Linked DNA regions of Sus scrofa. The protein of the gene in region 2 interacts with the protein of the main gene of each other region in a biochemical or structural test. Links are inferred from orthologs where the notes say so. Each region holds a gene or a part of one and is shown on either strand. Other genes may lie near its edges.

Region 1 (15,833 bases), on a different chromosome or scaffold from region 2:
GATGCCAATAATACATTAAACAAAATCAATGTTCAAACATGAAACACAATAATTTTAGACATTTTTCACACCTGCATGGACAGCAATTCAATTATGTGCACTTAAATGTGCAATATTATAAATGTTCATGAGTCTGTCGACATGAACAAAGAAATAGGACTTTTTCTCACAACATAATCTTCAGAATCTAAGTTTATGTGGAAATTACATATTCAGGACATGAATTATTAGGCATACAGCTGAGATTATTAGGGTGCTGTATTAAGGGAGTTAAATAGCCTTCACTCTTGACCTCCAGAAATTTATGATCTAACAGACCTGTGCCATTTATTTGGGGGGTTGTCAATTCTGAGTTGGCATTTTTCTTCATTTACTTTGTAACCTAAATGTAGATTATATGACACATTTTTTTGAAATGTAATTTTCACATTGATTCTGTTAAATTGCTTTATGAATGACACATTTTAACTTAATGACAGGAAATTTTGGTTTACAAATAAGATAATTCCATACATTTTCTTATGTGAGAATTGAATTTGACTTTATAAACTTCTTTTTTTGGGGAAATATAAGAAATAAGCCCAGCCAAGTCATTTTCATTCAATTCAAAGAACATGTGCTACAAATTCAACTTGACTTTCATTGCAAAGTGGCCTGTTGGGCCATGTGTCCAGCAAACATCTATAGGAGGCAATACTGTTTACCTGTTTAACAGTGTGTGATAAAACATATGGATACTGGATTGAAAGTCTCATTTAATTCAAGATGTTTAGGTGTTAAGTTTATAAGCAAAACTCAAAGGGGATTCTTTATCAGTGAGGTTCCAGGTGCTGGGTACCTGTAATGACTTGGACTCTCTGGGAACAGTCAAGAAAACTGAAGCTGTTTGATAGAGTCTGCTTTCACAATAGTTTAATAATGAAATTGTAGACTTAGAACTATTGGAAAAGCTGGGAATGAAAGTCAGGTCAACTATTATCCGTGATCTCAGCCAGAAACACTGAATTTGGTGCTCTTAAGGGTTGATTGGGCTACTGCCATAATTGCCGTCAGGAAGGCTATGATTCTCAAGGATGCACCAGAAACCCACTGTGAATCTCATACTGACTGGCCATTTCCTTCAGAGAATATAGCCTCTTCTCTTCTGCCTTCCAAATCGCATTCGAGAGCCTCTCATTGGAGAGTACTAACCTGGAGCCACACAAAAAGGGCATTGTGGAAAATGTATTCCTCATTTTTCCAGGTGATCTTGTGATAGCTTGGGGGCACTGATGCTGCTCTGTGGACCATAGATGATTAATCGTGCAGAGGGATGTACCTCTTCAGGCACCTGTTCAATACTGTTATTCTTGTTCCACAGTTATCCACATTTTACTTTGATTTTTATTTATTTGCTTCTGGTCATGGCCATGGCATGCAGAAGTTCCCAGGCTGGGGATGAAACCCACACCACACCAGTGACCTGAGCTGCAGCAGTGACAACACTGAATTTCTAACCATTAGGCCACTGGGGCACTCCCCATATTTCATAAAGTGAACTCTTGTTCAGGGCAAATAATATTCTGAATTTTGAAATATACAAGTCTCTCCCGAAATGAAGAAAATTCAGGGGGAAAATCTCTCTTGTCAATTTAAAATGATATCCTCAAAGTTGTCTTAGTCAACATTTATAGAGATTGAGGACCAGCTTCCAGGTACAGAAAATGTGCCCTCCCCTTAAAATACTTCAGATTATAGATGACAGTGACGGCATACTTCCTTAGAATAAGGCAGAATGAAATTTTGGGTTAGTGGGAGAAAGTAGACTGTTGTTTAAAGTAGTTATAAGAAGTCACCGTTGCTTTGATTTGGTTTTAGTAGAGATGTTTAATTCATATTGAGTTTAAATTACATTAATAAGGGTTTAATGTGTGTATTAATAGAAAGCATGGGTTATTAAAGTTCAGAGACCTGGGTACAATGGGCCATGCTGTACAGGTCCTCAAATTGTTTAGGGCCAGTCCTACCTGTAAAAGGTTAACTCTCACCTGCATCAGAGGATGGAAAGAAGGGTCCTTTGTCTCTTACTGGGCTGTACAGGAAATTAGGGCTTTACTGTCAGGTGTATCTATATAGTCTGAGATAAAGTTCCTTTAGATGAGAAATGAAGTCTTGGGGCATTTCGCCAAGAGAAGCTCATATTTCTGAGGACTCAAGGGATTTCATCTGCTCTTGCCTGTATCCCTTGGCAGGTTCCTCATTGTTTTATTATTATTCTCGCCAACATAATAGGAAAAAAGAGGAGGCTTTTTTTCTTATGTTATTTTCTAATATTTGAGGGTCGTACGAGTGATAATTACTTCTCCCTCTTCCTTCCACATATCTCAGTTCAGATTCAATTAAACAATAAGGCCACCCATGTTTGAAAGATGGAAATAAAACTATTGGTTGTATTCGGGATCATGGTTTTTTTGGGGGGTGAAGTTTAACCTGTGGTAGCAGTGGTTTCTCTAACTACTTCCCCCACATCTGAATATTGCAATGACCCCTCAAGGAAGGGTTTGGATCTGGAGAGCAGAGATATTTACCCAGAACCGGCTTCCCTCTTCACCCCTGTCTTGGTTTCCACAGAGGATGAAGATTCTGGCACAAGTCGTTTACTTAGGAAAGACCATGGCACATGAGCGAGGGATGGATGTTGTAAGGAAGGCGGGGAGGGCCAGTCGTGCGTAAAGCCAATATCCCAGTGGGAGACTGGATCTTAACCCCCCAGGGGAATTCTGGGAAAGAACGGAAAACACACACCTTATCATTATCCCTCCCAAGGGGTAAAGGAACTGGGTATTCAGTGTGGAGAAATTCTCCCAGGGTGGGCTAATTCCAAGGCTTTTCTGAGAGTCCTGGACAGAGAGGAACTTCCGTGGTTTGGACAGAAATTCCTCAGGTTCAGAGATGGAGCTACTGGAAAGTGAACGTCAACCAGAGCACAGGGATAGGGGAGAATGGAAGGCGTATATGGGGGGCACTGTGACGTCTGCTACAAGCCTCCATGAAGAGTTCACAGATAGACTGGTCTCCAGATCTGCTTCTAGAAGACAGGCTGTGGGCTTCATGACTCCCCCAGTGCTTCCTGCAGGGAGAAGCTGAAGCAGAGGAGTATGAAAACTTTTTGCAGGCAGGCAGATCCAGAGAGAGAGAGAGAGAAAAGGCAGGGCCACTTAAGTCATTCCATTCTCATTAAAAAATTGGGAGATGGACTGGAGTTTTCTTTCCAGACTCTTCCTTCCAGAAGAGAGGGGCAGATGTTTTACAAGGTAAATATAGATGCTGAGGTCCTTACAGATCCATTAATCAACTTTTCCTTTCAATCATGTTTCCCCCATTTTTTATCTTCTTTTTTTATCAAGATCATAAGCTCTAAACTGTCATAGGTTACCTCTGACAGGCAGGAAGCAGGGCAGAGGTGACAAGGGGACATAAGATCTGACAATGGGATGTTTGCACTGGTGTGAGAGTAAGAGTGGCTTGTAAGAGGCAGCTGGGACATAAGTGGCTGCTACTACTAAGTGGTTGGAAAGGAGAGTGGCAGATAGCATAAATCCACAGATTATGTGTGATGTACTTGTGCTCTTTCTCCTTTTAATATGAGTAAATAACCCAAATTTATAGGTGTGTTGTAATTAATACCAGACCAGTTCATAAGAGAGTAGAAAGGATAAGCTGCTGTAACAAGGTTCACAAAATACAGCGGCTCAAACAAAATCAAGGCTTCTTTATCATCTAACAGAACAGAGGCAGGTGGGCAATTCAGGATAGATTGGCTGCTCTGTCCAAGATCCTGGGTTTCCTCTCTCTTGGTACCTTATTCCTGGAGCCTGTTCCGCTTCCTGCTCTCCAAGCCGCTCACACCATTACTTTCAGCTCATAGAAAGAAAAACAGAGACGTGGAAGACAAACAACTTCTTTTGGAGAATGTGACTAGGAAATTTAACGCTGCACTTCTGCTTACATCTCATTGGTCAGAATCTGGTCACATGACCATACTTAACTGCGGGGTAGCTGGGACTTCTGTTCTCTACCCGGATACCCATGGGCCCTTCCAAAAGTGTGATGGGGGTGGGGTTTTACTGCTAAAAGGCAAAATGAAGTAGAAGAGTAACTTGGGAACAATTAGAAAAAGCATGGTAAAATAGTTATGCAAATGTTTGATGACTAATCTCATGAAAATTTATGTGTCCTATGATAAAATGAAAGGTATATTTTATTGTGTTCTGGTCATTAAACCTACCTTAAGATTTGCTTACTATAATATGCTGAATGTTAATTTAATTTCTAAGTGAACTTGATTATGAGTACTGGGTTTATTGTACAACACAATCTTAAGATTTTTTTTTCTACTTGTATATGCCATAGATTTAACTGTCAATTTTATTCTATTTTATTTTATTATTATTTTTGTCTTTTTGCCATTTCTTGGGCCGCTCCCGTGGCATATGGAGGTTCCCAGGATAGCGGTCAAATCGGAGCTGTAGCTACCGGCCTACGCCACAGCCACAGCTACTCGGGATCTGAGCCCCATCTGCGACCTACACCACAGCTTACACCACAGCTCACATCAACGCCGGATGCTTAACCTACTGAGCAAGGCTAGGGATCGAACCCGCAGCCTCATGGTTCCTAGTCCGGTTCATTAACCACTGAGCCACGATGGGAACTCAACTGTCAATTTTACAGTGGCTATGAGGTTTTTCTTATTTTCTTTAGTTCTAAAGCTTGCATGTACTTTATAATAATTTCTGGGTTTTGTCATTAATATTGACTTGAATGTAGCATGGCAAAAGGTAAGTAAATATTTTGATGTCTTCCAAAGCAAAACTTAAATAAAGGTCTGAACTTAGGTCAGTGTAAGTATCTTTGGATCATTCCGAAACTGGAGGCAAACAGCCCTTGGTCTTCTTTATTGTGTAACTGGAAATCTGCTTTAATTTTATGAATTAACATCATAATGGAGTCTTGTACAATTACTTCCACAGGGTAAATGCTCAATAAATATTGGTTGAATAATTAAATTGGGTTACTCAGAGTTCATTAGGAATTGCAACTCCCTTGGACCAAAGGTGACCTGAATCAGTATTAGGCCATCTTTTTCAGACAAAAGTATTTGGTATTTTCTGTTTGTTTAATAATGGGACTAATAGCTTATGTAATGTAAACAATGTAATGGTAAATATAGAAAAATGATAAATGTGCCAATATATAAATAAAAATATAATGATAAATATAGAAAAAACTACAGAATTTTTATTTCTTATAATAGGAGACTTCTCCTTCCTTTTCACAGCATAAAAAAAGAGAAGCGACTAACACAGTGCCTGGCACGAGAGATTCTCAATAAATAGTAGTCACAGTTAATTACCTTTTATATTGTTCCTTAGGTCACAGGATAAAGAAGTGATCAGTTTTCCACTAATACAGAGCAAAACAAACCACAAATTCACTGTCACAAGGTAGAGAAGAGAGTCCAGTTTGGAAATGCAAGAAGAGCTGGTTTGAAAAATACTCTCTCTACACGAACTTAGCATGTGAAAAAGTCCAATAATTAACAGAATATGTCCCCAGATTTACTCTGCTTGTGAAATACCCCAGGAAACTCAGCAAGCTTTCACAGAGCCTTAGCGCTTTGTGAGTTCACAAGATCTTGATGGAGAATATCTTTTTAACCAGCGGTTTCTCTGACATATGTCCAATGGTCATATATTGGGATAGACTGGAACTCCCGACACAAGAAAGTTATGGAAACAGCATGTGGGATGTGACCCTGATTACTGCTATCAAAATGTCTTCCCTGGGATAAACCATAATGGAAAAGAATATTTCCAAAAAAGAATGTGTGTATGCATATAACTGAACCACTTTGCTGTACAGCAGAAATTAGCAGCAACATTGCAAATCGACCAGACTTTAAATACGTTCCTTATTATTTGGCGATGCTATCCCAGTTCCCTCTTTCAAAAGAGAGTTTTACTCTTCCGTTTTTGTTTTTGTTTTGTTTTCAGATTCTAAGTCATTTGGCATTAAATTCATGGACTTACTGTTTTCTCTCTTTTCTTACTTCTCAAAATTTACTTAGACTGCAGTTAATCTCGGTAATTTCTTTACACCATTTAACATGATTCCTTAGGCACACTGAGAACGTCAGTGTTTAACTTTCACGTTTCTTAACTTTAATAAAATTCACTTGTTTTCAATTTCTGTGATGGCTGAAATTGACTGACATATCCCCAAAGGGTTTAGGATATTGGATACAAATTCTGGTATCTCAAAATTCCTCCCAAATGTTAGAAAATTTTAGCAGTGAGAGGGTTGTTGTATTTTCTTTTTTTCTTTTTTTTGGATAAATGAAAATATAACAAGGAGTTAATATTTGATCACGGAGGTAATTTTCTTTAAAATCAGTTTCTTCAATCAATTCTCAACAACATAAATCTGCATCTACTTGTTTATAAGATTGCTTGATATACCATGCAGTAGAGGAAGTGGTTTTAATTTCTTGAAATTAAGATGGAGCGTCTGAATGTATATTTTTTAAGTTACAAACTTTAGGTCGGTTTTCCCATGAAAGTGGAAATAAGCTGGCATAACTTTACTTCATTTGCCAAACAGCAGTGTGAGGGATCAGCTTTACTTTTCCGAAATGCTCAGCTCACAACTATGAAATTTTAACATTGAGTAATTTTGACTGGTGAGTACACAGGAGTTTGTTACATATTCTTTATCATAGTTTGTACTATTTTATATATTGTATTTTTTTCCCAGGTAAAGTAAAATACGTCTATAGCTCTGTCCTAAAGCTTTGATTTTTCAGGAGATTAGGAAGCTGGGTTGTATCCTGATGAAAGAGAAAATTGGTCCATTTTGCTAGGTTAGATTGTGGTGCCTGGTGACAAGGTTAAATATTAATGTAGATAAGTGAATGAAGGTGATTTTAATGTTAGTTTAATTAATGGGTGCAGAAACAAGCAATGAATTAGGGTGTGAATCAGAGTGCTTTCAGTACCAAAATAAATATAAATATATAATCACCCATTATCTTCATATGTATATATATATATATGGGTTGTCTGTCTAGAAAAGGCATAAATATTCTCATTTACATATGACCCTCTCAGCAAAATATAGTTTGTCACCCAGCTTTTAGTGGTTGCCCTTTTAACAGGCTGTTTCTGCAAGTACATATTTGTCATATGCCTAGTTTATATTTTTCAAACAGCACTTTAAAGAGGAATCCAATAATAAGAACGAAAGGAACTTGAGTTTTCCTTAATGTTGCAGATACTTTAGATGCCGCTTTGGAAAACGTCAAGTGGAACTCATTTTTGGCGGTGGAGTGGTACCAGACTACTCTTTCCATTTAACCCCCCGTATTTTCTAGGCTTTACAAATTATAATCAATTTTCCTTTTCAAAATTCACCTTTAAGAGAAGGCTCTGTTAGCCGGCTCCAACAGCAGGCAGCGAGCCTGCCTACTCCGGCTGGGCCCAGGAGGGAGAGGGTGGAATATTGGGGCTGGGGCTGGGGCTGGGGCTGGGGCTGGGTGCGGGCGGCGGGGGGACTTCGAGAGGGGAACTAGCGGGGAGACTGCAGTGACACTGCCCTCCCCGGGCGGGTTGAAGCATCTCACTGGTGACGGGTCTGAAAGCACGTGGCTACGTCATGGAAAGCCAGTCTTTTCAATGCAAACTTCAACTCCTCCTCCTCCTCCCCCCTAATGCCTGTAACTCACATCCGAGGCTGGGCGAGGAATCCGGAGGGGAGATTTTCCTCATGCTCGCCGTTGTTGGAAACTGGGAGAGTGAGAGGAAGGAGGCAGGGGCTCTGTGGCGCTGTCGACCTACTACCAGCCTGACCAGGGGAGGGGGCACCTAGATTTGCATCTTTTCTTCGTGGTGATTGAGAACTGCAGGTTCAATCCGATCCCACTGAGCACTGGCGATTGATGATAAAAAAAATCGACACTGGCAGAAGGAAGGCTCTGTCTTCGGCTGTCAGACTCGGAGGTGGTATTGGTGTGTGAGTGTGTGTGCTGGTGGTTTTTTTTTCTTTTTCTTTCTTTTTTTTTTTTTTCTTTTTTCTTTCTTTTCTTCTTTCCTTTTTTTTTTTTTTTTCCTTCTCTCCTAGGGACTACACAATGGCAGTCTCTTCTCAGTGAGATGAACCCTGCTTTGCCTTCTGCAGACCCACCCATCCTCATAGCGATCAAGTAAAAAAGGCTATGGTTTTCTCTTTGGGGATCTTTTGTGCATTACTGTTCTCTCTGATTAGTTCTGGTCTCAGTTGGGATTTCTTTGCCTTTTTGTTTGGCTTCATGCTGAAAAAGGATTTTTTTGCCAACCCTTTGGTAATCCAGTGGTGATCAAGGGGGATAAATCATTCACCCTGGCCGAAAAAAAACAATCACTGAGAAGTCTCAAAGAAATATACCACGTGAGGGGAAAAAACTGGGAGAAGATCCGGAATATTATCGTTTTTCCTATGGTAAAACCGGTGCCCCTCTTCAGGAGAACTGATTTCAAATTATTATTATGCAACCACAAGGATCTCTTCTTTCTCAGGGTGTCTAAGCTGCTGGATTGCTTTTCGCCCAAATCAATGTGGTTTCTTTGGAACATTTTCAGCAAAGGAACGCATATGCTGCAGTGTCTTTGTGGCAAGAGTCTTAAGAAAAACAAGAACCCAACTGGTAAGCAAAACATGCATCATGTTATGTTTTTCCTCATAATAACCTGTCTGTTGCTCATTGAGCTAGATCTGCAGTTCTGCTATGCAGGAAGGCAAGGGGAACAGAAAAGGACCAGGACAGTGTGGTATATAGAGGTGTTGCATGGATAAACAACTAACAGCTGGATCGGCGTCTGTGTGCCCGAAAATCATCCTGGGCATCTCTTGGCTGTGACACAATCCATCACTAGGAGGGAGGAGGAAACTTTTTTTTTTTTTTTTTTAAATATATTTGGTTGCTGATGTTTGGTGGAATATTGAAGGGCTATGGCTTCAGGTTTGGCCCGAGGCAGCTGAAGCTTCGGTAGTTGCCAGGAAAAAGAACCGCGAGCTCTCCCGACTTCTGCTGCAGGTTCGGGGACGTAGCTCGGTGCCCAGACCCGGCTCTAGACTTTCTGATTAGCTTGCACAATATTCGCCACCCCATCGCCTTTACCCAAGTAAAAGAGGCCCCTTCCCTCGCGGCCCCGCTCCTCCGTCAGCCCCCGCCTCCCGCCCCCGTCGAGCTCTCGGTGCCGGAGTATTAATTAACTCCTTCGCCTGTCTGCCTCCGACACCTCCAGCCACCGGGGATACTTGAGCAGGGCTCGTGCCGGGAGGGAACCCCAGACCGAGCACACCAGCCGGGTCACTCTAGTATATGTCATTTAAACCTCCCCTTTAAAAAGCAGTGTCCGGGCCCGGCGTTTGGGTCCCACCGGTGGGATGAGCCTGGCCCTGGGTCGCCGCTTCAGCCTCCTGGCGATCGTGCGCCCCCATTCCAAAAGCCTCCAACCGGGAAACTTGCAGTACATTACATAAGGAATGCAAATGCAGGTGATTCGGGGAGTCGGGTCCCCGGGGTTCACCTCCCGGTATCTCAGTCTGAGGCGTTTGGGGGCGGCCGCGGAGCTGTGGGCGAGCTACCCGGGGAGGCCAGGCCGGAGGGCGGCGTGGTGGCGGCGGCGCGCCGGCGAGGAGGCTGGGCGCAGCGGGTCCGGGAGCCGCGCGCGCGGGCAGCGGGGGTGTGCGGTGTCCCCCGGTTCGGTTCAGGCCGGGGAGGGCCCCGGGCGGGCTGTTTGTGTCTGGGGCCGCGTTGGGGGCGGGGGCGGGGCCCTGGCCGTCCTGCAGTGGCAGCCGGGGCGCCCGAGGCTCCTGACGCTGGCACTGCGGTGTAGTAGATCATGGCTCCCCGCGGGCGCCCTGACACCCCGGGCTCCGCCGCGGCCGCGCTGGCACCCGGAGTCCCAGCGGCCGGGCAGCAAGTGGCTGCCGTCTCCATGCCTCCGAAGCTTTGCTAATGCAGCGTAGCTGGGCGGCGCGCTCCGGAGGAGCTGCCGCCAGCGGGAGCCGGGGAGCCGGAGGAGGAGGAGGTGGGGGGAGGAGGGAGGAGGAGGAGGAGGTGAGGGTGGGCGGGGATGGAGGCGGTGGGTGTGGAGGCTGAGCACCCCGTGCGGCCCCCTCTGCTGCGGCAGGAGGGAACCTGCGAGTAGTTAGAGCGTCCAAAAGGGCAGATGTCCGCGTGCCGGCGGACGCCTGGCAGGTGCCTTCAGCTGGGACGTTGGGTGGCCGTGGAGGCTCTGGGCGCGGTGCTGCAGTTGGCTCTAAGCCTGGGTCTTGGAGTTCTCATCCCAGGGCTCTAGCTCGGCCGGCTCGCTTTCCGTCCCCCTCTTCTTCCCCAGCCCCGCCTCCGTCCCCTGTCCTTTTACCCTTCTCTCCCTTAACTCCTTAGCGTTTAGTAACTCTGAGATGGTACCACCATCCTGGGAATTACTCAGGAGAAAGCAGTGTTGTCACCTTACCCAGCCGCAATTCCAGTTTGGCCAGTGAGGTGCACCCCAAGCCCGCATCAAGCCCAACATTTGCTGGTCCCTAGGCCGTACCTAGATCTGCAACGCTCCCGTTTCCTGGGTTCGCGTGAAGACCCTTTTGGCGAGACTTCCCCAAGTGGATCAAGCCAGGGGCTGCGGTGAGAGGGGAGGGGCTCCTCGCTCACACGGGAAAATCAGTGGGTCTTGAAGCCTTCTTGTGTCCTTCTGACAAGGGAATTCTGTAGAAGCGTTTCTTTAGACTTGGCCATTTGTTTAGGGATCTTGAAGTCAGTCCTTCCATAGTACTGGAGAGTGGGAAATAATTCAACATGGAACACGAAGTTTCCTTACGGCCTTTTATACTTTTTTTTTGTTGTAAACAGTTTTACTGGAAACACTAATTTTCACCCATGCACGATTCAACATCTTTTTTATTACACCTCCCCCATCCCACCCACTTTCATCTCTCTGGAATAAAGTAGATTTTTTTTTTTTTCGTTCTGAGGCGTTTTGGAAGGTGTCAAGCAAATGACGAATTATTTTTAGAGCAATTTATTTTGCAGCTTATGAAGCTAAAGTACTGGGGTGTGAATTGATGGGTTAATTCAAACTATCTAATAATATCAACTATTCTAATAGGATAGTTTGTCTTAGATTGCCACGGGTTAGAGGTCTAGTCTGGGAGTTGCAGCGCTTTGTAAATTATTTGAAAAATGGGACATTAAGGTGGCACCCTATTTAGCTCACCTTGCAAAAGTTTTGCCTTTGGAGATTGAATCAAAGCCATGCCTAGCCATTGCAGTTTCAGGATTGTGGTTGGTCAATTTCATTCCCCTTCTGTTGTTAACATGAAGCCTAAAATCTTTTCCAGGTTTTTTGATCCCAAGATAGCAGTATAACTAAGAAGTTAATTGGGTAATTAAAATAAAACAAAGACTAAAATCCTCTTAACTGTTAAAACCAAAAAGAACAGATTGACTACGACCTATTATGTTATCTTAAATCTAAAATGAGGACAATTAACTGGTTTCAGACTAAGAAGCTTGGCACAGAACCTCTAGTACCAGTACTAGGATCATGAATTTGATGTAAAGACTTCTTATTAGATTAATTTTTCTTCTTAGTCTTTGTAAATTATAAACAAATTTACCGATTATTCCTAGTTCTTTAAGTTGTCAACAAGTATAGGCCATTGGGTCAGGGGTTCCTGAGAGGGATTTTCAGAGCACTGCTATCTAATGGAGTTGATGTGAAAATACACAGATAATTGAGTCATGAACTTAAAGGCAAAGTTGTTCATCTACCCCCAGACTCATTAATGCTTAAAGAAGAGGTGTCTTTTGCAGTTGTTTTCATGTAAAACTTAACTGGAAAAGAGCATAAAGAATATATTTGCACAATCTATGCTTTTTAAAATAAACTGTAATAGTTTGGAAATCCTGGATAGAAAGTAAATTTATTGTCTTTATAAAAAGTCCAATCTTTCACAGTACAACTATCAGAGAACACACACACACACACACACACACTTAAATGTCCTACTGTTCCCTATTTTCCTAGTAGAGCAATAGCTATATGTTTAGAATAAATGTTACCTGCTTCAACTTTCACTGCATGAGTCATTCAAGGTGACTGTATTTTAGGCAGATCATTAAATAAGGAATACTGAGTCTGAGGCATTTATTTTGCCCTGAGGAGGGCTTGATATATTTCTTTAAACCAGTACTGATAGTTTGGACAGACCCATTTGTATCACGGGCCAGTTTGGGGAATAATCTAGGTCACTGAACCTTGAGCGATGGCTGCTAAACAAATAAATATGGCTGGAAAAAAGAGGTCCACAATAAACACGAAGGTCATGTCGCCAATGTCTCTTCAGACACATAATGTCCAACAAGCAAAGGAAGCCACATACCCTCTATTATATACAGCTACTCACAGACACAAACTTGTGTGGCTTGGCAGGATTTTGTAAAGCGCAGATTTTAAGATAAATCATAATTGGATGTAATTTTATTGAGTACCAGTGTTAGTGGCTGGGAGGGTAGGACGTGGATGCCCTAGACAAGTTCTGCAGAGCACGTTTAGAAAATCCCCCACACTCCTGGCCCCGAGTGTTTCCTTTTCTAAACTCTGTCTCCTTCTCTGCCATGTAACTTTGAGCTGAAACAGGCAAGGGTTGGTAGAACTCACTTCCTACTGCCTACTTTTTTTGGGTGTCTTTCATCTCTGCTTTTGCCTTTGACTAAGCTGTTTTAGGTGCCCCAAACATCTGGTATGCTATTGTTACTTATTTAAATACATGTTATTCTTTTAAAGCCACTTGCTCTACAGCTAGGGCCCTCATGTCCTTAAGAAGGGAGAAAATAGGAAGAGGGAGACAAAAAAAGAGTAAGCATTTTTTTTCACTCCTTCTCCTCTGCCTGACGACTCATCCTGGGTTCCTGCAGAGCTGGGGGAACCACAAATGGGCCATGATCTCTGCATTCCCGAACACCGAGCACACAGACAGTGGAATGGTCACTTCAGATGCAGGGCTGGAACACCAAACAGATGTAAGGTCCTTCGGCTGCTATGTTTGCCTCCAGAGTGGGATTCCACATAACATGAGGTGGCCTTGGACTCCATCCAGGAAGCTTTAGTTACTGAAGCAGCAAAATGAGTTTTGCAGGCAGTAGCACTTCCTGAACCAGAGAATGACGTTTTAGGTAGACTTTCAAGGACTGACCTGTTGAGAGTGTGGTGTTTTTTCTTTTGTTTTCACTTAGATCCAAGTTAACAAGCGTGAAATCCCATGCATGATATCCTAAACTTGGTTTTAACAATGGAGGTGACTTCATTGTACCCATACCCAGCCTATTCTCATCTTAGGCAGCATCCGTCACTGAGAACATTTGTTCAAATGATGCATTGCTTTCAGAAGGTGCTAAAGCTAATTCTATACCATATTTCATAGTTCCCACGCAGAACATTCTTTTAAAAATGTTCAAACCCAGTCTTCCATGTTTTAGCAACACAAACACTGAAGACTTTTATGAAGTGTTTTTATACATGTGCTAACAAGGACAACAACCAAAGTTTTTGCTCCTTTGTACATTTTGGCATCATAACTCAATTGACTCATAAGCTTACTATAAATATCATGTAGATGTCTCAAAATGGGAGCATTTATTCAAAATAGTTTCTTATGCCTTCAGGGGAAACAGTTGGGATGTTTGAACAGTGTATTTGAAGCTTCTCTAGTAAGTTTTAAATAAGACACCACACTGCGTCTATATTCTTGATAAAAGCTTTGAGCCCAATTTAGTACCACCTCCAGGAGGGACAGGAGGTTAGGGAAATACCCACTGCCAAGTCTCTCTGCCTAGTACCATAGTCTGGGTGGTGTTTCTAGGGTCTTAGTTTGTGTACCATGTACCAGATTTAGTTATAAGAGTTGAACCTGAGCACAGAAGGGCAAGGAATTGTCTGAGAAGAGTTGTTTCTCCCTCTACCTCCAGTGCTGCACTTTTTGGTTATTCTGCTTTGTAAAGACTACGGATGTATTCCCTGTATATTCCTCTAGTCGGGAGAAATTAATGTTCTGCTTTGACCCAGTAGTAAAAAGTAGGATGAGGAAGCAAAGGGAAGTTGAAAGGAGGAATTCTTAGAAACTTCCTAAACAGAAAAGCAAAAAGGAGGCATACTGCAGACATGGTTTACAGGGAATACTGAAGTTTTGTTTATCTACTCTTCAACATCAGCTAAGAAAGTCACCTAACAATGGACAAAAGTCACTATTGCCCTTATCGTCGCCTGACCAAAAATCCCGTTATGACAAACTGCAGGTTTTCAACATGTTTTTACTAAATGAATTCATAGCAAAAACCAGGCATCTCTGAGAAAGTTAACCAGAGGGCTGTAATTGCCAGTAACATACAATTTCCTTGCTTAAGTTCACTTCATGGGTCTTCCTTTCCCAGAGCCAACCAAGAATTTGGCTTCTGAATAGTAAAGGAAAGAAGGAAAAAAGCTGTTGGTGCCTTCCTACTCTCCATCCGCCATGCCAGGGCATCCTGAAACGGGGCCTGCAAACATTCCCTAGGCCCACATGCTAAGTCTCCAAACTTGAGGCCTTCCTCGGAGGCACCAGCCCAGGCGCCAAAGGCGTCCACCCTCTGGCCCCCTCAGCCTTGACACAGCAAGTGGCAGGGCACCGTCTCGTTCCCTCTGCAGGAGCCCCCTCCGCTTCTTTTCTGATCTTCGATTTTCTTCTTAAAGGCATGCCGCAGAACAGAGTGCATCTGAATTGTTCCTCTTATCATTTTTGAACCCCTTTCTCCGAAGGTGGTCAATGGGACCCTCCCGCGTGGCACGTTTTTGTTCTTGAGGGGCCAGCAGCCAAGCAGCCTCGAGCTCCACTTGTTTTGAAAGGAGGTGCCCCCTCCGTTACTCTTTTGTTCCTTTTTGCTTTAAAGCACTTCCTAACCGCACTCAGCCACTCAGCTTCCGCCCTGCGCGGGCCGCGGAGTCTGTGTCAGGGACAGGACGTCTGGCAGGACGCCACGATTGGGACAGAGCCCCCGCCTTCCTGAGCAGCGAGCGAGGCATGGACTGTTTTCTGCCAGCCAAGAGCCGGCCACCTCTGCGGCTCGGATCTGCTTCCAGGGGTCGGGCCCCGAGCCTGCCTAACGGAGCCCTGGAGAGAGGGGGCACGCGGGCGACGCGTGGCCTTCCTCTGCTGTGACCCGCGGCCAGAGCCCCACATTCCCGCCACCCGGCGCTCCCCTCCTCCGAGCGTCGGGGGCTCTGCTACGCAATGCGGCGGAAGCGGCCCGTCCGAGCCGCCGTAGCGCGGGAGGTTTCCGTTGCTACAGAGATGACCTCTGACCCAGGGGGCGTCTCTGGGGGGGCCCCTGGCCGGCGCAGCCGTTGCTATGGAAACCACGTGGCCGGAAGCCGCGGTGCGGGTGCGGGCCGGCCTCTGACGCGGCGCGCGTTTGCCAGCCCCCGGCCGGCGTCCGCGCGTGCGCCCCCGTGCGTCGCCGGGTCCAGGGGCTGCGGGAGAGTTTGGTCCCGGCCCACAGGTGGCCGCCTTCACCTGGGCAGCATCTCCTATGCGCTGCCAGGTGTAGAGGAAAAAGCACTGGGCAGGAGGAAGGAGCCAGCTTGCTGGCGATCACTCCCGAGTTCAGGACTGGGAGAGGGTGAGCCCCGTCCCTGCTGGCTGCTGGAAGACCAGGGCGGGCTCGCGAAGTTCTCTGGGCCTCAGTTTCCTCGACTGCAAAGCAAGGGCATTGATTAGAA
Region 2 (15,360 bases):
GTTGATGAGGATGCAGGTTCCATCCCGGGCCCTGCTCAGTGGGTTAAAGATCCTCCACTGCGGTGGTGCGGGCCGGCAGCTGCAGTCTGATTCGACCCCTAGCCTGGGAACTTCCATAAACCCCAGGTGGGGGCCTAAAAAGCAAAAAAAAAAAAAAAAACTGTTTCTCGAATAGTTACAGATCTCCTGCTGTGAAAAGTCGATGAACAGGGAGAGTTCCCTGTGGCCTAGCGGGTTAAGGATATGGCATTGTCACTCCTGTGGCTCAGATTGTTGCTGTGGTGTGGGTTCAATCCCTGGCCCAGGGTGTGGCCACATCCACATGCTACGGGTGTGGCCAAAAAAAGAAAAAGAAGTGATGAACAAAATTTAGACACCACCATCTAGAGCTTATAATATAGTGGGGCTACAGATACTAATTAAGCAGTTATAAAGTGGGGAATGTTGTGAGAAAAATTACCTGGAGGGCCATGACAGAAAATAACGCAGGCTGGGGGTGGGGGATCTCCTTCAACAGAGAAAGCCTCACTACTGAGGGTCTGTTCGAGTGGATGAGAAGGAGCCAAAATGCTGGGGAGAGATCCTGGAAGAGCAAATGAAGCTCTAAAAGCAGGAGACTTGAGTGTGGCCAGGTGGTGATGACCTAGGGGAGAGGTATGAGGTGAGTGGTATTTTTCAGCCAGGCTGAACTGTAGGAATTTTGTTGCGAGCCCAGTGAGAGGCCAGTGAGAGGTTTTAGGTAGGAGAGTGATGTAACCACTTACGGTTTTTTGGGGTTTTTTTTTGTTGTTGTTTGTTTTGTCTTTTTGCCATTTTCTAGGGCTGCTCCCGTGGCACATGGAGGTTCCCAGGCTAGGGGTCGAATCGGAGCTGTAGCCACCAGCCTACGCCAGAGCCACAGCAACACAGGATCCCGAGCCGCATCTGCAACCTACACCACAGCTCACGGCAACGCCGGATCCTCAACCTACTGAGCAAGGCCAGGGATCGAACCTACACCCTCATGGTTCTTAGTCGGATTTGCTTCCACTAAGTTATGACAGGAACTCCACTGTAGCAAGTGTGATTATTTAAAACCCTAAGTGGGGGTTCCTGTCGTGGCTCAGTGGTTAACAAATCCGACTAAGGACCATGAGGTTGCCGGTTCGATCCCTGGCCTTGCTCAGTGGGTTGAGGATCCGGCATTGCCGTGAGCTGTGGTGTAGGTCTCAGACGAAGCTCCGATTAGACCCCTAGCCTGAGAACCTCCATATACCATGGGTGGGGCCCTAAAAAGACAATAAGTGAATAAATAAATGAAATCACACTTGCTACTGTGTGGAGGCTGCACTGGATGAAGGCAAGAGCAGAGACTCTTCTAGAAGTGCAGAGGGACAATGATGGTGGCTTGGGCTAGAGAAGGGCAAGAGGAATGGAATGAAGTAGATGAATTCAAGGAAGGATGAGCAGGACCTGCCATGGGTTGGGTGGGAGACGAGGCAGAGACAAGAGCAAGAAGGGCCCTCAGACTTGTGGAGGCTGGATGAAGAGCTGAGGGGAGAGGAACCAGCCGGGAGACAGGCAGGGGGAAGGACGGAGCTCGGCTTTGCACTTGCCCGAGCTTGAGATGCTGGCACGTCGTCCGGGAGAGATGAGTGAGCGGCCCGGGAGTTCCGAGGAAGGATGATGGGCTGGCGAAGAAAACGCTTGGGAAGCATGAGGACATAAATAACGTGTAAGCGGTAGGAACGGGTGGGAGCTGAGCTCTCCCAGGGAGAAAGACGAGATGAAGCGAGAGAAGAAAGAGCCAGCGAACGAGACTAAAAAGGAGCCGCGGGAGAGGTACAGGCCCAGAAGAGTGGTCGTGTTAGAACACTCGGGGCGGGGTGTTGGCGTTGGCCCTTGGCCCAGCTCCCGACACCCTGATAGAGCAGCAGCAGACGGCTGGCCGGCATCCCGGCAGCAGCGCAGGCACAGAGGCCTTGCGTCAGCAGGGCAGCAACGTCCCGTTCGCCGGCAAGGTTTTCACGAAGGCTTTTCTCTCCTTCCGCCCGCCCTCCCCGCCCAGAACAAAATCCAAGGCATCGTCTTTGATTTCGTCACTCAGCAAGCCTTTGACATCGTCATCATGATGCTCATCTGCCTGAACATGGTGACGATGATGGTGGAGACCGACACGCAGAGCAAGCAGATGGAGAACATCCTCTACTGGATCAACCTGGTCTTCGTCATCTTCTTCACCTGTGAGTGTGTGCTCAAGATGTTCGCCTTGAGGCACTACTACTTCACCATCGGCTGGAACATCTTCGACTTCGTGGTGGTCATCCTCTCCATCGTGGGTGAGTGGGGCGGGCGGGGAGGGGACAAGGGCCCGACGGGCCCCGAGGAGGGGGCTCCTGGACCTGCTTAGCTGAACTGAATCGTAAATTCTGCGGTTGAGGATGGGGCGGGGCGGGGCGGAGCAGGACAGGGCGGGAGGGATTTGATTCGGTTCTTGCTGTCAGTGAGTTTCCCTCCCAAGAGGGGAGGTTAAAGAAAGGTATTTTCAAATACGGCTACAGTAGCGGTGTAGAGTGGAAACAGGCCTGTGAGAGATCGTGAAGCTGGGTATTAAGGAGACGGTCTGGTGCTGGTGGCAGCAGTGGTGCGGTTGGTGGAGGCGGTGCTCATTTACTAGGAATTGATGGTGCCAGGTCGTTTGAGTTTCTTCACTGGCATTCCTATCTCGTTTGATCCCGATGACAGCCCGGGAAGCAAGGGATTTTATTATCTTGCTGTAAAGATGTCCAAGATCACCTAACTAGGAGGTGATAGAAGTGGAACTCCCATTGCGTTTTAACCATGACTGTATGGCCAAGTTCCCATTGGGCTCAGTGGGTAAAGGACCCAATGTTATCTCTGTGAGGATGCAGGTTCGATCCCTGGCCTCATTCAGTGGGTTAAGGATCCAGCATTGCTGCAAGCTGTGGCGTAGGTTGCAGGTACGGTTCGGAACCCGTGTTGCTGTGGCATAGACCTCAGCTGCAGCTCCAATTCAACCCCTAGCTCAGGAACTTCCATCCGCCCCAAGTGCGGCCGTAAAAGGAAAAAGAAGAAGAAAAGAAAAAAAATACAGTGACCGTGTGGCATCCGCTTCAACCTAAGGACATGGAAGGGCTGATGTCCTGGCAGGCAGAGGACATGGTGCATTTCCCTTTGAAGGGTCATAGGGCACATTAGCCTGCAGGAGGCTCTTGGAAGTCCTGGAGTAAAGGATTCTGTTTGGTAGAGTTCCTGTTGTGGCTCAGCAGGTTAAGAACCAGACATAGTGTCCATGAGGACGCAGGTTTGATCCCTGGCCTTGCCCAGTGGGTTAAGGATCTGGTGTTGCCGTGGCTGTGGCATAGCCTGCAGCTATAGCTCTGAGTCAACCCCTAGCCCAGGAACTTCTGTATGCCACAGGTGCAGCACTAAAAATTAAAAAAAGAATTCTGTTTAACAATCCATCCCACCTTTTTTTTTTTTTTTTTTTTTTTGTCTTTTGTCTTCTTAGGGCCACACCCACGGCACATGGAGGTTCCCGGGCTAGGGGTTTAATGAGAGCTACAGCTGCTGGCCTACACCACAGCCACAGCAACACAGGATCCTTAACCCACTGAGCAAGGCCAGGGATGGAACCTGCAACCTCATAGTTCCTAGTCGGATTTGTTTCCACTGCACCATGACAGGAACCTCTCCATCCCACCTTTATTTGATCACAATACCCTGTTTTGAAGTAATAGTGATGTTTCTCATAGTTCAGTGGGACATACTATGTGCCTGTCGCCAATCTAAGTGCTTTATGTGTTTTAATTCACATAATCCTCGCAACAGCCCTCTAAGTATCACGAGGAACTAAGGCACAGAGCCCAGCCCCCTGGCCTCAAGTCCACACTCCTGACCTCCCACAAAGCACACCTTGGACAGTGCTGCCCTTGTCCATTGTTCTCGAACTTCCTGCCCACCCATCACTGAGTGGGATGGAAAACCCACAGACCCAACCATGCACCCTCTTCTCAGACGGTACTTGAAAATAAGGAGAATTCCTTTTGATAATTGGGATTTCTTAAAATATCATTAAGTTGTTCAGGAGTTCCCGTCGTGGCGCAGTGGTTAACGAATCCGACTAGGAACCATGAGGTTGCGGGTTCGATCCCTGCCCTTGCTCAGTGGGTTAACGATCCAGCGTTGCCGTGAGCTGTGGTGTAGGTCGCAGACACGGCTCGGATCCTGCGTTGCTGTGGCTCTGGCGTAGGCTGGCAGCTATAGCTCAGATTCGACCCCTAGCCTGGGAACCTCCATATGCCGTGAGAGCGGCCCACGAAATAGCAAAAAGACCAAAAAAAAAAAAAAAAAAAATCATTAAGTTGTTCAAAAACAAAAGTATAGAAAAAATCTTTTACATTAAAAGGAGTTGGAATAAGACTCACCCTGGAACCTCCTAGAGGACCCTTTAAATGCTGATTCCCACCGCCTGGGTTGCTGTCCGCCCACCTCTTGCCCCTCTTCTCTGGGCACAAATCCGCATGCATCCTGCAAAACCTCACTCGGGCATCACCTTCTCTCCGAAGCCTTACCTGCCCCCCATGTACAGAACACAAGGGCTGCGTATATTACCTGACGTCTTCCGGTCACTGGTTATGACTTGATTGAGAAACAAAAGGAAGGGCACTGAGAAATCACCTTGTTGGGTCCTGGCTGAGGTAGAGACTTTCTTAAAAGTTCAAATGCCTGTGGAATTCCAGCTCCAGAGGAAACCCTGACAGGTTATCCGGCCAACTCCAAACTTCCTGCGTCTTGTCCCTTCCTGAAAGTTAAGATGCTTTCGTAGCTTAAAACCTTCAAATAAGCCTTCTGCAGTTCACTGCCCCAGTGTTTATGAATCTTTGCGGTGGGAAGCTGTTTCTTTATTTAAATCAACTCTCTCATCCGCTGAGACGCACACCGTCTCGTGGGGGCCTCGAGAGCAAGAGAAGGCACTGAAGGAAAAGCCATGTCACTTCGGCCCCTTCAGCTGTCACGTTCCAACCTCTTCAGCTCCTCTTCCTCTGAGGCCCTCACTGGGCTCCCGTTATCACTGTAGTTTTTAAAGGCAAGTCATCTGCTGGAGGCGGACTCCTGGGTGAATGTGAACAGCAAAAGGCCCTCTGGTGTATGTGTTTCACCCTCTACTTTTCTATCCAGTTACTGCCTTGACACTTTTAGCTGCTGTTACTGGTTTCTGATTTCTGGCTTCAAACGCAACACCTAGAAACTCTCAGTTAAAAATCACTCCTGAGGAGTTCCCGTCGTGGCGCAGTGGTTAACGAATCCGACTAGGAACCATGAGGTTGCGGGTTCGGTCCCTGCCCTTGCTCAGTGGGTTAACGATCCGGCGTTGCCGTGAGCTGTGGTGTAGGTTGCAGACGCGGCTCGGATCCCGCGTTGCTGTGGCTCTGGCGTAGGCCGGTGGCTACAGCTCCGATTCGACCCCTAGCCTGGGAACCTCCATATGCCATGGGAGCGGCCCAAGAAATAGCAACAACAACAACAAAAGACAAAAAAAAAAAATCACTCCTGAGCGTTCCCTCTAGTTGGTAGGCTAGTTTGGTAGGGTAGGGCCACGGGGCAATGAGAAACCAAAAATGTCTTTTCAGAGCCAGGAAGAAGATGCTTTGGGAACTGGTGATAGCGGGGTGTGTAAGATTTCGCAGCCAGAGGGCAGCGAGGTCACGGGGTGGAGCCGAGACTTCTCCTTTACTGTGTGTGTGAATGTAGAAATCTGACGGCATTTCGGAGAAGAATCCATAACACCTCAGAAGGTCACGCGTGGACAAATCTGAGAAAAATGAATTATCCTTGAGTGGGAAAACGGATGGATAAGGACCTAGTCATCAAATGAGTTAATTAAAATTATTGTAACATCAGAGCTCGGTCTCCCAAACATAGTGTAAATCTCAAGAGGAAGTGGGGAAACAGTAAAACAGATAATGGCGTGATGCCTTCCACCTAGCAGGAGGCTCTGTGTCGTCTGTGGGTTCCTCCGTAGCAACAATGGGACGACGATCCCGGGATGGACATTCCATCTTCAGGGCCGTGGTTGCTTCTGGGGCTGATGAGTGGAAGCAAGTTTGGTAAAACGCTCCCATCCATGTTTTCATCTGGGTGTTAGGGACGCAGGGGTCCATTTTATCGTTGTTCCTGCTTCTCTGTGTGTTTGAAACATGCGACTTTCTTTTCTCATTAAGAGCTGAATAACGAGCACTCATTCCCTCAAATCCTTTGAAGGCAGGGGTCCGGAGTGCCCGGCGACCCAAGGAAGGGGAAAGGGCACCTCCAGTCTCAGTAACTATCTTCTGTTCCTCTTCTTAGGCATGTTCCTGGCTGATATAATTGAGAAATATTTTGTTTCCCCAACCCTTTTCCGAGTCATCCGATTGGCCCGCATTGGGCGCATCTTGCGTCTGATCAAAGGCGCCAAAGGGATTCGTACCCTGCTCTTTGCCTTAATGATGTCCTTGCCGGCTCTGTTCAACATCGGCCTCCTGCTCTTCCTGGTCATGTTCATCTTCTCCATCTTTGGGATGTCCAACTTCGCGTACGTGAAGCACGAGGCCGGCATCGATGACATGTTCAACTTCGAGACGTTCGGCAACAGCATGATCTGCCTGTTCCAGATCACCACCTCGGCTGGCTGGGACGGCCTGCTGCTGCCCATCCTCAACCGGCCCCCCGACTGCAGCCTGGACAAGGAGCACCCGGGCAGTGGCTTTAAAGGCGACTGCGGGAACCCCTCCGTGGGCATCTTCTTCTTCGTGAGCTACATCATCATCTCCTTCCTGATCGTGGTGAACATGTACATCGCCATCATCCTGGAGAACTTCAGCGTGGCCACGGAGGAGAGCGCGGACCCCCTGAGTGAGGACGACTTCGAGACCTTCTACGAGATCTGGGAGAAGTTCGACCCCGACGCCACCCAGTTCATCGAGTACTGTAAGCTGGCGGACTTTGCGGACGCCCTGGAGCATCCCCTCCGCGTGCCCAAGCCCAACACCATCGAGCTCATCGCCATGGATCTGCCCATGGTCAGCGGGGACCGCATCCACTGCTTGGACATCCTTTTTGCCTTCACCAAGCGCGTCCTGGGAGACAGCGGCGAGCTGGACATCCTCCGGCAGCAGATGGAGGAGAGGTTCGTGGCGTCCAATCCTTCCAAAGTGTCTTACGAGCCCATCACGACCACCCTGCGGCGCAAGCAGGAAGAGGTGTCGGCCGTGGTCCTGCAGCGCGCCTACCGGGGACATTTAGCCCGGCGGGGCTTCATTTGCAAAAAGACACCTTCCAATAAGCTGGAGAACGGAGGCACGCACCGGGAGAAAAAGGAGAGCACCCCGTCCACCGCCTCCCTCCCATCCTATGACAGTGTAACTAAACCCGAGAAGGAGAAACAGCAGCGGGCGGAGGAGGGAAGAAGGGAAAGAGCCAAACGACAGAAAGAGGTCAGAGAATCCAAGTGTTAGGGGAAAGCTAACTTCGACAGTGTGCAGATGTCCAACGTGCAAGCGAAAGATTGTTTACAAACTTCCTGAATATTATCAATGCAGAACAGCTGTGGAGACACTTTAACCCGAAGATCTATACCAAACGTAGTCTGCTTACCATGTAACACGGTTGCATCTTGAGCAGTGACCTGCCAAGGGCAAAGGACCCTCCTCCCTGGACTCAACAGATTTTCTAATGCTTGGGCAGGTGGTTACTGCATGTTCCACATCAGTCAATGCAACTTTTAGGACAAAACTAACAGGATACAAAAACAGAGGAGAGGCTGCCGGGACCAGTGTATTTCCGTTGCAGCCAAATGGATTTTATTTTTTCATTTTGTTGATTCTCAGAAGCAGAAAGCATCTCTTTCAAAGTTTGTTTGTTCATGCAAACTCTCTTTGCATTCTTACATTAGTTAAGCTAAGCGGCAAAAAGGAAAAAACACACACACTCACATTTAGCCCGTGTCATTTAACGGTCACTTTCTTTGGCATAAACCGCATCTTCTCCACATGGGCTTCACGTGGTTTGGAGATGGGTGGGGGAAAACAAATCAGGTTTCTTCAGGCTGAGGAGGACTTGCTCAGGCCGATTCCAAACATTGTGCTCATTCAATGCGTAGAAATGATTTGCATGATGGCATGCCGTGATCAGAAGTCATGCATGAGAACCATACACCACAGGACACTACCGATCCTGTCCCCTGCCCTGGGTCAGCCTTTGGACAGGACCCAGCCCTGCACCATTCACTGTATTTGGAGAAAAAAATGGTAAGCGTTCCATACCCGCTGCAGTTCTTGACGAATTCTTAGAGGTCTTTCATACACCTTCTGGGTAGGGAAACACAACCAACCAGTCACCACCACCACCACCACCACCACCACCACCAAACAAACCCAGTCCAACAAGCAGATGGATCCGTTGTGTGTATCTGTTTCACAGACATCTCTAACATACAGCCGTTGTTGCACATCTTGAAAGATGAACTGTTTAATGCTGCTCTGTGTCCCATCCACGGGGCAACTTTGATCCCGAATGGCTTGTATTAACGTCACTGTAAAACCAAATCCTAGGGCTAAAAAAAAACAAAACAAAAAGACAAAAAAAAATGTTCATTTGTATCCTGCAATATTTATGATTTGTTGAGCCTTCATACTGGAGAACTGACACTTTGGGGGGACAGAGATAAAAGTGCTACTGTTCAGAGTAGCATGTTATCTCTAGAGGGTCATTTGGGGGAAAGGGGTGCTCACTTCATCAGTAGCGTGCCCGCGTTGTGGCTTTCTCCGGGCTTGGGTCCGTGTGGAGCAGGGTCCGGAGTCTGAGCAGACCGTCTTCCGCAGAGAGGTGGTGGCAAGCTCACACACAGCGTGATTCATGAATGCCTCTTGCCTCCATCACTTGTTTCCACCACGCAGGGCTTCCTTTACCCACAGAGCTGGGTAAGGGCAGCAGCCTCGGCGCCTCAGCTCTGGTTCTTTCGTGTCTTATGAGAATCAGTCGTCACTGGTGGGACCAGTCGAGACAGAGCGGCCTCTGAACCCAGCCCACCTGGTTTCTTTATCGCACTGGTTCTCATGGGAAAGCGATTCAGTGTGAATTCTTAAGAAGTCCCAGTGTCCCCCAGCGTATTCCCTTTTGGCCAGTTTTGCTCTCTGCTTAGTGACCTGCCCATTGTCATTGGAGGGTGGCTTGGGGGGGAACGTCATTGCTTCCATTCCATCTCCTGCTTCAGGGAAGACAGCTTTTAGTCCAGGGGTTTCTCGTCTGCTGACTAGATTTCAGAGCTAAGATGCTGCAGTTGAATGTGTCAGGAAGTCTATACAAAGAACAAGGAGAGACTTCAGCATGCAGGCCCAATCAAAACAAATTCTTCCCCAGCCACACAGTAGAGGGGGGAAAGCCCATAATCAGACACACCAGTCTGCCTTGCAGTAGAAGCACTTTGGATGTAATTTCCCAGCCCACCTGACTAGTTTTGCGTAGAACAAACCACAGCAAGTCAGTGAGCAGAGCTTTCTACCTTGTTGGACCACGAGAAACTGTCCAGCTCTCATAAGCCTGCTTCTGCAGCACCATCCGTAGAACCTTTTGTACTCCACCCAATAGCAGGTTGGGAAGGCGTTTTTCCATCGGCGACCCCGCTAACTGCTAGGATGAATGTATAGTAACATGTACAGGCTACATCGTAAACAGCACAAAACAGCTGACATGTGTGGTTATTCTTTTTAAGAGAATTATAAATACTGTAATATATCATTTTATTTTATTAGCATGCCTTTTTGTAAATACAAATTATTAACTTATTAAATAGGAAATGGCTTCTGGCTTATGCCATTGTCATGTTTATTTTTATTTTTTATACTTTCCTTTCTTCTTAGAACTTAGACGCTGTCAGCCAATGTACATCCCCAAACCAGACAGACAGACAAAAAATTTTTTATTGCTAATGGTCTTTTCCAAAACGACAACAAAAATATATTTTTGTTCCAATGTGCAATAAATTCTAACCACTTCTATGCAAGATTTGGCTAAACTTCATAATTGTTCTTGTTCTTAGGTCTTGAGATGGGCAACAGAGCTATGAGATTCCCGCTCCGTACTCCAAGCGCTCGCGCTAGTGATTGTCATTAAGCTCCTAGAGCCGAGTCATGAGATTTTTCTGAGACCTGACCTCTTTCCTCCCCAGACCCTGCTCCCGGCCCAGCAGGCTAGCTCCTCCGTAACTCGTAACTCACACACCGGCCTTGGTATCTGACACCCATCAGCCAGCTTCACAGGGAAGAAGCCACCTCCACTCTCTTTGAAGTTGCTTTTTTCTTTTTCTTAACTTTTCCCACCTTCTTTTCCCTCACCCAGCGCCCCTTCACACACCGGCCCACTGACTTGCTCGCTCGCTCACTCACTCGCCCTGCTCCACACTTCGTTGGTAGTCAGTGACACCATCACCAGCAGTTTACACCCGCAGTTAACAGGCACTGAACGGAGTCAATGATGACGTTTTTGTGCGTCTTCACTGAGGGGGGAAGTGGCAGCGCTTTGCCAAATATTAACGAAGCCAATCAAAAAGCAGCAGCAGCCACAGTATCACTGCACATATATATATATAGATATATAAATACAATATAAATATTTATTTTTTGTAGCCGGGTCCTTGGTGCAGTATTTATACTCCACAATCCACCTTTAAAAAAAGGACAAAAAGCAAAAAGACACGTGTGATGCTGTTAATTTAAAACGCAGAGCCAAAGCCACTGAGCAGCAGCTGACGCAGTTGCTGGTTTGTGTGTGAAAACACTTTCCCCTCTTCTTTCCTGAACCTCCGCGTTAGGAGGAGACTCCACAATTTAAACCCGAGGGCGAGAGCAGCAAAACCTCCCCAAGGCAGCGGGACCTACTCCCCTCCTCTCCAGGTGAGCCGCTCTGGGCATCAGAAGTTGACTGAGGGGGAGATAAACAGAAACCCCCAGGCAAAGCCCCTGAAACAGAGTTCTTTTATTTTTCATCGCAACCAATGTCAGCTTGTACAAGCCCAGTAGTGAAGACGGGTGTCTTAGTGACTGCATGGCGGCCAGCACTGCTCTAGACGAGGCGTGATGCGAGTCCGTCACTGCTATAAGCCAAAAGGAAACAAAATAAAAACCACCCGTTTTACCGTGCAAGGGAAGCCGGTCTTGGTGTGCGTTTGTTGCTTGACTCTCCCGATTTTCGATTCCTGGGCGGGGTCTGAAAACTGGGACCTTAGCACAGGTGGAGAAAGGAGGGGGAACGAAGGGAGAGAACGCAGAGGGTTTCTCCAAAAGTTCTGGCTAAGGAATAGCGATTGGAGAGAAAAGCAAGGTCCGGGCCTCCCCCCCCCAGGTCCCCGCTTCTTTCCCCCCCCCCCGCCGCATGCGGCACCCCTCCTCCTGCCGGCCCCCAGGAAAGCCCTTCTGCGCTGGTCCCCCTGGCAGCGCCCCCAGAGAGGATGGCAGCCAGCCCAGCTGGGCTGGCCTCACTTCTGCCTTTTTCACCAGTGTGTTAAGAAAACCATTCCAATGCCCCACAGCCTCCACGCTGCAAGCTATTGCTGGGCCCTGCCCTCCATCACCCCGACCACGAGCCAGCAGACTAGGGCTGGTCTCCCTCACGTTCGTGCAGGGAAGGGGGGCGCCCCTCCCTCCCCTTGCCCCGCTTTGGGGACATCCCTCTCTAGGCCACGTCTCCCGGTCCAGGAACACTCAGGAGGATTTTGAAGTGCCCACTCTTGTCCGCTCCAGTAGCTCCACTCTGGAGACAGATGGCGGGTAGGTCAGTCCCCATCCTCCTCCCCTCGGCCCCCAGCCTCCAGGCCTGCTGTGGAGGTGAGATTGCCATGGGTTATGACTTTGTGACTTGAGTCCTGGGCATCTTCTGTAAAGATGCCTCTTTCTTTTCTCAGATGTTGCCCAAAGTTTTGCAAAAAGCTTCGTTCATTTTCAGGTACCCCCACCCCCTAAAGAATCGGCTGCAACGAGCCAGCCAGGGGGACATCAGGAGAGGAGAGGAAGTCTGCGTCCGGAGGGGCCCAAGGTTTGCACAGTCTGTGTTGGGGCTCAGCTTTGTGCTTTCTTGGATTCTCCTTCCAAGAGTAGCAAGATTTCCTCCATTAAAACACTCCTGAGGCGCCCCCTGCCCCTGCCCCCACTGCTGTTTGCTGTACATAGAGGCTGAGTGGGGTGGGGTGGGCGGGTGTGCACGTGTGGTGTGTGTGTGTGTGGAGAATGTATATAGGTAAAGGGGAGCGCGGTCCAGTGGTTCCAGAAGAGGGACAGAACTCCTTTGTTCCATCCCCGGCTCGACCACTGACTCGCTGTGTGGCCTTGGGCAAGTCACTTAACCTCTCTGTGCCTCAGTTTCCCCATCTGTAAAATGGGGATAATAATACTGACCTACCTCACAGGGGTGTTGTGAGGCTTTAACTACATGTTTTGTAAAGTGTTTTTGAGATACAGAGGCCAAGGCACTAGGGAAGGGCAAAGTACTATTTGGACTTTCGGAAGATGAAATGGTACCATAAATGCTGCTATTCTGAGAGCCATTTTAAACTGCACTGCTCCAACCACCCCCGCTTCTCATCACCAGGACAGCAGGTCGAGAAAATGTCTTTCCTTTCACTTGCTTCTGGGGTTTGTGATTATTCTAGACACTTAATTTCTTTCCCTTGCTGTATCTCCTTTCCTCACCCCCCTCGACTTGTTCCCTGTTCCGTTTATGCGGAAATGGCAGAAATGCTTGAGAAATGAGAATGTATAAGTGGATTGGAAGTTTATAGTCTGAAATTTCAATTTTACTTTGTACTGTACATCTTTTTACTTTAGAATTTGCAATAAAGGGTTACGTCAATCTTGTTTTCAACTCTCCTCTTGGACTGGCCTGTCATTCTGTCATTGCTCTTACACCAAAGCCCCGGGGGGGGGGGGGGAGTCAAGCACTCCCACCCAGCGGGACCCTCCAGCCAGCCTCCCACCTTCGGCAGCAGTCTGAGCAGAGTCTGAGAGGGTTCACCCCAGCCCCGCTCCTCAGGTGGCCTGGCAGTGCCCCAGCCCCTCCTCAGGTGGGTGAGAATTGGGGGCTCCAGATGGAGCCTCAGGAGCCCTGCCTGAGTGGAGAGCAGCTGGGAGCAGCAGCCCCTGGAAGTGGGCACACTTCTAGCTGTGCCACCCAAGGCAGGGCCTCAGGGTAAGCAGAAGCTCCAGGGCTTGTTCTGGTCCCCATGGTGTTTCTCTAGCTCCCTACCCCTCACAGATCATTCCCTCTGAGCTCAAACTTTTGGCTCAAGCAGCTCGGGGTTCAAAAACCTGGCTATGCCACTAACTAGCTGTGGCCAGTTTCCTTATGTGTAATGGAGATACGACCTTCCTTTGGGGGTTTTGAAGATTGTATCAAATAATACATGTAACTGCTTTAGCCTAGGGCCTGGCACACGTTAGTGCTCAGTAAGTGGTAGCTCTTAGTGGAAGAATAAGTTCGAGGTAAAGAAGGAACTAAAGCTGACAAGAACTGCAAGGGCCTGCCTCCCCCGCCCACCCCAATGAACGGACACCCAAGCCCCTCCTCCTCCACTGGCAGCCCCGCTGGCTGTGACGGTCACTTCCAACCAACAAACCGATCACTCCCTCCATTGCGCATTTCATAACTTGTATAATACGTCGAAGGCAGCATCCCTCCCGGACTGTGCGCCCACTTCACAACCGGGCGCAGGGAGGCGAGGGACGGTCTGGCCCACCTGCCGCCCAGGCCCCCAGCGATCCGAGGGGCTCTGCAGTCAAGAGCGGCTCCGCTTCCCTGGCGGGCCCGAGAAGGGAAGGGTCGGGCAGCAGGGGGCTGCCGGGCCGGGCTCCACCACCGTCTCCGCCGGTGATCCACGGCATGAGCAGGATGAGCAGCGCCCCGGCGCCCAGCGCCCCCCCGAAGCCTGTGAGGAAGCCGAATGCCAGCGGCCCGGCCCAGCCAGTGGGGCTCCGCTCGTACGGCGCCTGGGGCAGTCGCTCCACGATCAGCTCCAGTTCGTCCCAGTTGGGCTCGGGGATCGAGGAGCGGCGGGGGCGCAAAGCCGGGGCGGGGGCCCGGGCAGGGGGCGCGGCAGGGACCACAGGGACGGCGGGCGGCGGCAGGTAGCGCTGCCCGTACTTGCGCAGCTGCAGCGTCGCCTGCTGGTGGAGGTTCTTGCCCAGCTCCCGGGCTACGTCGGGGCGGCCACTGCGCCGCAGGGCCCGGGCCACGCGGTCCCACGACAGAGACGGGGCCTCGGCAGCCAGCCAGGCCGCCAGCCCCTCCCGGCAGCCGTCGGACACGTCCGCGGGTTCGGCCTCCCGGCCCGCCAGATCTCCCGCCGCCTCGCGTCGCCGCCGCCGGCCCGACGGCGCCAGCGTGGGCACCGGCTTGGGCCGCGCCAGCCGGTCCTCGGAGAGCCTGGCCAGCTCGGCCTCAAGGTCCGGCTCCGGCACCTTCAGGAGCGACTGGAAGTGGCCGCACTCCTCCGGGGTCAGGAGCTCGGCCAGGCGGACGGCCGCGTGAGGGCCCATGGCGTCCACGGCCCCCGCCGGAGCCAGCGCCCAGCCCCAGAGCGCCAGGGCCCCCATCAGAGCCCGCGCCGCCATCGCCGGCAGGGACGGCGCCCCACGGACTGTGGGGGAACGAGCTCCGAACGCCCGCGGGTGGGGGAGGGGCGCCCAACACCCACAGCTGGTGCAGGGAGGAGGTGCCGACATCCAGGGACTGGGGGCGGGGTGGGGGGCGCACAGGGACAGGAACCCGGGCCTCCAACACAGGCGACTTTTTATTGGAGGAGGAGCTCCCAACTCCCAGAAACTAGGAATTAGGAGGGGCGGGGGGGGGCGGTCTCACAAAACCCAAGGACTCGAGTGAGAATGTCCCAACACCCGGGGATTTGGGTGGGTTGGGACTCGGTCCCCCAAGAAGTTAGGATCCGGGGCCCTTACACTGAAATGCCTCCCCAGGAACAGCCGTCTCAAACTTAGCAAGTTTCCAACACCTCTCCTAGCGTATCTCCTGCTGCTCAGCCTCCACCAGAAGCGCTAGACCCCTTGCTCTCCTTCCCTCTAATATCCAAATTCTCTTGCCACCTACTAAATACTAAATATACACAGACGCTACCGTTTTCCTTCCTCCCACAGGTGCATCCAAACCCTCGGCCTCTCTGCTAAAGCTCCAGTCCCCGCCCTCCACACACTGGCCGAGGGAATTTATTTCCCTTCCCCAAGCAGGCGTGGCTCAGGCGCTCCTTAGCTCTTGGACTGCACTCTCTGCTCTGCTCAGTCACTCCTCAGCTGACAGGTCCCTTCCGGGAAGCCCTCCCCG

The links.
Region 1: the proteins of SCN8A (region 2) and FGF14 form a complex in vitro, tested with the Homo sapiens proteins (2 studies listed by BioGRID). The link is inferred for Sus scrofa from reciprocal best matches to the Homo sapiens genes SCN8A and FGF14.

The regions. Positions count from the first base shown.
Region 1 is NC_010453.5:70,853,743-70,869,575, reverse strand, and holds the start of FGF14 (fibroblast growth factor 14), read left to right. Parts: upstream 1-7,634; 5' UTR 7,635-8,511; coding exon 8,512-8,719; intron 8,720-10,158; exon of another isoform or gene 10,159-15,833. UniProt on the Homo sapiens protein: Probably involved in nervous system development and function.
Region 2 is NC_010447.5:17,160,950-17,176,309, forward strand, and holds the end of SCN8A (sodium channel protein type 8 subunit alpha), read left to right. Parts: intron 1-2,047; coding exon 2,048-2,318; intron 2,319-6,348; coding exon 6,349-7,496; 3' UTR 7,497-12,882; downstream 12,883-15,360. UniProt on the Homo sapiens protein: Pore-forming subunit of a voltage-gated sodium channel complex assuming opened or closed conformations in response to the voltage difference across membranes and through which sodium ions selectively pass along their electrochemical gradient.